Linked DNA regions of Callithrix jacchus. The protein of the gene in region 1 purifies or fractionates together with the protein of each later gene. This does not show direct contact. Links are inferred from orthologs where the notes say so. Each region holds a gene or a part of one and is shown on either strand. Other genes may lie near its edges.

What was found.
Region 2: the proteins of NEDD4L (region 1) and LITAF purify together in Homo sapiens (affinity purification with western blotting; 3 studies listed by BioGRID and IntAct, counting the BioPlex papers as one, with this or other methods). This does not show direct contact. The link is inferred for Callithrix jacchus from reciprocal best matches to the Homo sapiens genes NEDD4L and LITAF.

What each region holds. Positions count from the first base shown.
Region 1 is NC_133514.1:101,373,375-101,377,190, forward strand, and holds part of NEDD4L (E3 ubiquitin-protein ligase NEDD4-like), read left to right. Parts: intron 1-1,482; coding exon 1,483-1,615; intron 1,616-2,979; coding exon 2,980-3,156; intron 3,157-3,816. UniProt on the Homo sapiens protein: E3 ubiquitin-protein ligase that mediates the polyubiquitination of lysine and cysteine residues on target proteins and is thereby implicated in the regulation of various signaling pathways including autophagy, innate immunity or DNA repair.
Region 2 is NC_133513.1:17,571,252-17,575,067, forward strand, and holds part of LITAF (lipopolysaccharide-induced tumor necrosis factor-alpha factor), read left to right. Parts: intron 1-1,685; coding exon 1,686-1,842; intron 1,843-3,816.

The DNA.
Region 1 (3,816 bases):
AACTTGGTGGAACCTGAGGAGTGCCTCCTTCCAATGGGCATGACTTCCAGAAGGCAAGAAGAAAGTTAGTTAAGGAAAGTTTCCACCACAGCCTCTGCTAGCAGGCTCTTTATTGGGATATGGCATAAGTTCATTTCAGAATGTGTAAGAAAATTTTAAAATTTGTGTTTTAGACGGAGTCTATAATGAGTGTTCTTGATAAGTACTATATTTCAGTTAATGTGAAATAAAGATTTCAACTTTTGAGATATTAACTTGTGCAGTAATTTTCATTAACATGATATGCTGTCTTATTGAAAGTATCTGTGAGAGTTTTCCCTGAAAACCTTTTTGGCATTTAAACTTGTACAGTAAAAGCCTCTGACTAGTATTTCCCCCCAAAGAATGATTGCCTTTAATTTACTGCAAAAAAATAGTTGGTTTGTTTTTGTATTTGTTTTGAGATGGAGTCTCACTCTTCTGTCCTGGATGGAGTGCAGTGGTGCAATTTCATCTCACTGCAACCTCTGCCTCCTGGGTTCAGTGATTCTCCTGCCTCAGCCTCCTGAGTAGCTGGGACTACAGACACATGCCACCACACCTGGCTAATTTTCATATTTTTAGTAGAGACGGGGTTTCGCCATGTTGGCCAGGCACGTCTTGAACTCCTGACCTCAAGTGATTCACCCACCCTTGCCTCCCAAAGTGTTGGGATTATAGGCATGAGTCAGCATGCCCAGCCCAAAAAAGTTTTCAAAATTGAATCAAAACTTTTAGATCCTGAATCGAGAGCATCACATGACAAAAAATACGGTGTGATGTGGTGGTGGTCTTCAGACCCCAGCTGACTTGAGAGTTACTAGGATTTTTAAAGTAGGGTAAAGAGGAGAAATGCAGTGTCACAATTTTGCGATTCTGTCAAAATGAGCTAGAAAGCAGCTGAAAAGAATTCACGTTGGATCAGATGTACTTTCATCTCGATGGCAGCTTTGAATTTGTACCTTTTGTAGTCTTTGGTCAAATTGCTGGTGACCAAAAGTAGCTGCCTTGTCGTTGCTGGACTTCTAGAAGGATTGGGACTGCCCAGCTGCTGTGTGAACTCGCCTGTCACCTCTCCTTCCAGAGGCCTGACTTGTCACTGTGACAGATGGGTAGAGGACTTTGATTTCTGTTTTTTATTTAACACTAAGGTATACTTTAGTACCTTATATATGCCTGAAAGATACTCAAATATGCCTGAAAGATACTCAAATAAATGCCTGAAAGATACTCAAAATGGTGTAATGCATTTTAAAACTGCACTTATTTGATTGCAGTGAACCTTAACGTATACTTCAGCTGTGATATGGTGGGAGAATTCTCACATTGGATGACCAGCTAGTCAGTGTTTTATGCTGACGCTTGAGTGGGCATCTGGCCCTCTGTGGGCACTGGACTGTCATGAAAGGCTCCATCTCAACCACTTCTCCTCTTTTTCTCCTTCCCCCTTTCCTGCGTGCTCAGGGACGTGTCCTCTGAGTCGGACAATAACATCAGACAGATCAACCAGGAGGCAGCGCACCGGCGCTTCCGGTCCCGCAGGCACATCAGCGAGGACTTGGAGCCGGAGCCCTCGGAGGGCGGGGATGTCCCAGAGGTACGATGTCCCCAGAATGCTGCAGAGCCCTGCAGCTCCTTCTTTCCATGTTCTCCAGACTGATTTTATATCATCAATTCTTCTCTCAGTAAATGTTGTTGAGAATGTAAAGATGATGTTGACACAGTGAATTAATTACCATATGGATATTAATTAATTTGAAAGTGCTATAAAAGCCATATTTGACAAGTACATGTGGCTCTATTATTGATAGAACTGGGAATGACATTATTGTTTTTTTCCCCCAAGATGGAGTCTTGCTATGTCTCCTAGGCTGGTGTGCAGTGGTGTGATCTCGGCTCACTGCAACCTCTGCCTCTCAGATTCAAGCAATTCTCCTGCCTCAGCCTCCCGAGTAGCTGGGATTATAGGCGCCCGCCACCACACCCAGCTGATTTTTTTGTTTGTTTCTTTGTTTGTTTGTATTTTTAGTAGAGACAAGGTTTCACCATATTGGCCAGGCTGGTCTTGAACTCCTGACTTAATGATCCATCTGCCTCAGCCCCCGAAAGCGCTGGGATTACAGGCATGAGCCAATGAGCCCAGCCAACATTATCTTTCAGTATGAAAATCTGAAGATATTTTCACTTTGTAATTTATTTTTCACCAGCGTCTAACCATGTTTCATTAAATGACAACTTAGTTATCATAGTTGAGCTGTTGAATGAGCCCTATAACTTGTTTGGATATCACATGCACGTTTTTACTGAGTCGCTTTGACACCTTGAAAGAAATTTATTACCATGAAAATATAAATTTGGGTGAATAAAAATTTGCAATTTTCCCTTTAAGCTGTTATGATATACTACTTAAAACTTTATGAATTAAACAACAGATGAGCCATAAACTTCCATGATGTCTTATCAGCTCTGTTTACATACTAAAAATCCATTTTAGACGTTGTCTTAGGAAGATCATTCACAATGCGGTGATTAAAAAGGAAGTCCATGTCAAGAGAAAAGTGTGTGTGTGTGTGTGTGTGTGTGTGTGTGTGTGTGTGTGTGTTTTGGCACATGCATAAAGTAACAAGTGCTGGAAATCAGTCACCATTCAGAGAGGTGGTGGTATAAAGTGGTTACGAGCACAGCCTCTGTCTAGAACCAGGCCTCTTTAGTTCACATCATGGCCCTACCACTTGCTAGCTGTTACCTTGGGCAGGTCATTCTCTGTGCCTCAGTTTCCTCATCTGTTAATTGAAGGTTTTAAATATATCTTATCTTCCTCACGATTATTGTGAAGGTTGTGAGAGGCGCTTAGTAGGTATTATAGTTATTACTGTGGCTATCGTTGTTACATGCTTTTGTTGGGGAGCTGGGCAGATCCCCATTTCCTAGCATTTACCCCAGTGTCTCCTTCTCTGAAAGCCTTGGGAGACTATTTCAGAGGAAGTGAATATTGCTGGAGACTCTCTCAGTCTGGCTCTGCCCCCACCACCGGCCTCCCCGGGATCTCGGACCAGCCCTCAGGAGCTGTCAGAGGAACTGAGCAGAAGGCTTCAGATCACTCCAGACTCCAATGGGGAACAGTTCAGCTCTTTGATTGTAAGTATTGTTCTTACAAAAAATAAAGCTAAGCAGTGTTTCGTTGTTTTTTGTTTTTGTTTTTTGTTGCTTCAGGAGAATCTTTTATGTAAATAGTGAGCAGGGGTCTTCCAGTTCCCAGTTAACTCACATTTTCCAAAGTTCCTCCTTCCCTAGGAGAAGCAGGAGCATACTAAAATTAGCCTAAGCGGGTGAGAATCTTTCTTGATTTGGAAGGCAGCTTTGCTCACCCCATACCACTAACACTTTCTTGGTTTATAAAGAACTCAAAGAAATAAAACTCCATGATGTCTGTAAATATTAGCTTCAACCTTGTAGAATCCTTTCCCAGCCAAAAGACTCAGGACAGTAGTACCTTACCACAAAGGTAGGATGTCACAGTACCAATTAAAAGCCATCAGACCTAATTAGTTCTCTTAAATCATATTCTGCAGGCTTTATAATTCTCATTTCAGTGATACGGGCATGAGGCTTACGTGGCCCATCCAAAACAAGGTTTGAATGGGAGATAGAAGACATCTCCCAAGTCCAAGAGTATAAACCCTTGAGAAAGGTTGTGAAATTGTGACACTGTCATCAAGGTAGCATTTTAACTTGGGCTCTCAACCATCAGAAACATACTTTCTAGAAGCTTCAGATGGGCCCAGTGCCTGAGCCCAG
Region 2 (3,816 bases), on another chromosome or scaffold:
GATCACCTGAGGCCAGGAGTTCGAGACCTGCCTGAGTGACATAGTGAGACTTTGTCTCTATGAAAATAGAAGTAGCTGAGTGTGATAGCTTGCGACTGTAGTCCCAGCTACTTGGGAGGCTGAGGCAGGAGGATCACCTGAGGCCAGGAGTTCGAGACCTGCCTGAGTGACATAGTGAGACTTTGTCTCTATGAAAATAGAAGTAGCTGAGTGTGATAGCTTGCGACTGTAGTCCCAGCTACTTGGGAGGCTGAGGTGGGAGGATTGCTTGAGGCCAGGAGGTTGATGCTGCAGTGAGCTATTACTGTACCCTTGTGCTCCAGCCTGGGAGACAGAACAAGACTCTGCTTCTAAAAATTTTTTTTAAAAAATTAACATAAATGCTAAAGTATGATGCAATACTACTTTTCTGGAAGGAGGGTCTTTCTATGAGTATTTCTAAGTTTAACTCTAGGCAGTCGTTAGTTTCCATTGGTTATATAAATGGCATTCTAACAATGTAAAAAGGAACAGAAGGAAGTAGCTTTGACAAAAATATGAACTTAACAACTGAAGTGCTTAATGATTTTCATCACCCTGGATTCTCTTCCTTTTTTTTTTTTTGAGACAGAGACTCACTCTGTTGCCCAGGCTGGAGTGTGATGGCATGATCTCAGCTCATTGCAACCTCTGCCTCCTGGGTTCACATGATTCTCTAGCCTTAGCCTCCCGAGTAGCTGGGACTACAGGCCTGTGCCACTATGCCCGGCTAATTTTTGTCTTTTTAGTAGAGATGTGGTTTCACCATGTAGGCCAGGCTGGTCTTGAACTCCTGACCTCAGGTTATCCACCCTCTTCAACCTCCCAAAGTGCTGGGATTACAGATGTGAGCCACTGTGCCCGGCCTGGTTTCTCTTCTGATTCTTGTGAATGTCCACAGATGTTTTCACTTAGCTGTGTCTTCCCGGCATTATTTAATATTTCATTTCTTACGTCAACACAGTTCATGAGCTTGTTGTCTCACAGAGTTGGCCTGCATTTCCTGGCATGATAAACTCTCCCTTATCATTGGGAGCCAGAAATTACAAAGGATCTGTGTAAAAAAAGGGGATTGTTTATCAGGAGCTGCTAGACGCAGTGTGAGACGGGTTACAATTATTTATTTATTTGTTTCTGAGACCAAGTCTCGCTCTGTTGCCCAGACTGGAGTGCAGTGGCACTGTCACGACTCACTGCAGCATCAACCTCTCAGACTCAAGTGATCCTCCCACCTCAGCCTCCTGCGTAGCTGGGACTACAGGCATGCACCACTATGCCTGGCTAGTTTTTATAGTTTTTTGTAGAGATGAGGTTTTGTCATGTTGCCCAGGCTGATCTTGAACTCCTGGTCTCAAGTGATCCTCCACCTCGTCATCCCAAAATATTGGGAATATAGGTGTGAACCACTGCCCCCAGCCCTCTTATGAGCCTGAATCATACTCAGTGGATGGATAAACCCTGATGTGTTAATTCATTCGTCCGTCAGTGGACACGTGAGTCCCTTCCCCTTTGGCTCTCCTAGGTAGCCAAACGATGGACACGTGCTGTGAACACGGATATACAGATAGAATATCTACGGCGTCCCTGCGTTCCCCTCTTTGTTCTGTAGCGAATGCTGTGGCCGTGTTTCCTGAGCAGCTTGTGTTTGTCCCTCTCCCTTCCATCAGTTGCCGTGCAGACGGTCTATGTGCAGCAGCCCATCTCCTTTGCCGACCGCCCTGTCCAGATGTGTTGTCCTTCCTGCAACAAGATGATCGTGAGTCAGCTGTCCTATAACGCCGGTGCTCTGACCTGGCTGTCCTGCGGGAGCCTGTGCCTGCTGGGGTGAGTCTGCCTCCTGTGTGGCCCCAAGACCTCCTGCCCTTCTCTCTGGGTGCTGCGGGCGGTGGCGGGGGCCGGGGGGGTGGTTCTCAACTGGACCAGAGTGACATTGTGCCAGACAGTTCGTTCATTCCCTTTCTTTCTCTCTCTCCCCCCTTTTCTTTCTTTTTCTTTCTTCTCTCTTTCTTTCCTTTCCTTGTTTCCTTCTTCTTCTCTCTTTCTCCCTTTCTTCCTTTCTCTCTTTTTCTCTTTCTTTCCTTTCTTCCTTTCCTTCTCTTTCCCTTTCCCTTTCCAACGGAGTCTTGCTCTGTCACCCAGGCTGGAGTGCAGTGGTATGATCTCGGCTCACTGCAAATTCTACCTCCCAGGTTCAAGCGATTGTCCTGTCTCAGCCTCCCAAGTAGCTGGGACTACAGGCGCCATGGTCAGCCAATATTTGTATTTAGTAAAGACAGGGTTTCACCATGTTGGCCAGGCTGGTCTCAAACTCCTGACTTCAAGTGATCTGCCCACCTTGGCCTCCAAAAGTCTTGAGATTAGAGGCGTGAGCCACTGCACCCGGCCTTTTTTTTTGAGATAGAGTCTGGATTTGTTGCTCAGCTAGAGTGGAGTGGCATGATCTCTACTCACTGTAGCTTCCACTGCGCAGGTTCAAACGATTCTCCTGTCTCAGCCTCCTGTGTACCTGGGATTATAGGTGTGCACAACCATGCACCATGCCTATTTTTTGTATTTTTAGTGGATATGGGATTTCACCACACTGGCCAGGCTGGTCTAGAACTCTTGACCTCAGGTAATCTGCCCCCCTTGACCTCCCAAAGTGCTGGGATTGCAGGTGTGAGCCACTGCGCTTGGCCCAAGACATTTTTTTTTTTTGAGACGGAGTCTCGCTTTGTTGCCCAGGCTGGAGTGAGGTGGCACTAGCTAGGCTCACTATAACCTCTGCCTCCCAGGCTCAAGTGATTCTCTTGCCTCAGCCTCCCGAGTAGTTGGGCTTACAGGTATGTACCACCATGCCTGGCTAATTTTTTTGTATTTTTAGATGGGGGTCTCACCATGTTGGCCAGGCTGGTCTCGAACTTCTGACCCTCAGGTGATCCACCCACCTCAGCCTCCCAAAGTGCTGGATTTACAGGTGTGAGCCACTGCGCCTGGACCAAGACATTTCTTTGTTGTAAGGGCCATCCTGTGCATTGTAGGATATTGAACAGCATTCCTGGCCCCCACTTGCCTGACGCCAGAAGCACCTGCTCCCCAGTGTTAAACTGACCAAAAATGCCCCCTGGGAGGCCAAGTCGTCTCCGCTGCTCTTAAGCATATCAGCCCCCAGAAATGGTTCTTCCGTCATTTCTTCTTGCTTACCTGCCGAAACCACTCCCTGCCTGTAGGGATAAGCTTCGCAGCTGCTGGCAGCTGTGTATAGGGCAGTACCCTGAGGGATTCCTTTTTCTTCTAGAATTTCATGACCTAAATAATAATGTTTGCTCGAGCCTGAGAGAAGCTTTAAGCAATCTGTACGTTAAAATTCTTCATAGAAATTACTTCAGAACTTCTTATCCTTTTATGACCCGAAGTATTTTTCCCATTGCCCATGTAGGGGAATTATGTAAATAGTTAGGTTGGCACCAAGGGTATTATGTTTAAAGAGATAATAGTTTCTGTTCTGGGAGAAAAATCTGAGAAAAACAATTAATTTTTTGTTTCCCACAAAGCAGGTACAAGTAACTTCCTTATTCCTGGCCACGTGAGCCACTCAGAAAACCCCAACGGGCTCTGTTCTTTTCCTTGAAGGAAATGATTGTGAGTTTCAGGAGCCTCACGCAAGCGCCATCTTCCTCCACATTGTCCTTTGGTGACTTGAGGCTGAGAAGGAACAATATTTCTCTTCCTAACTTCAAAAAGAGGCTCAGAGTCCTGGAGTGTTTAGTTAATTTCCTTGAGATCATATATTTAATAAAGAAGGAAGGAGATGGAACG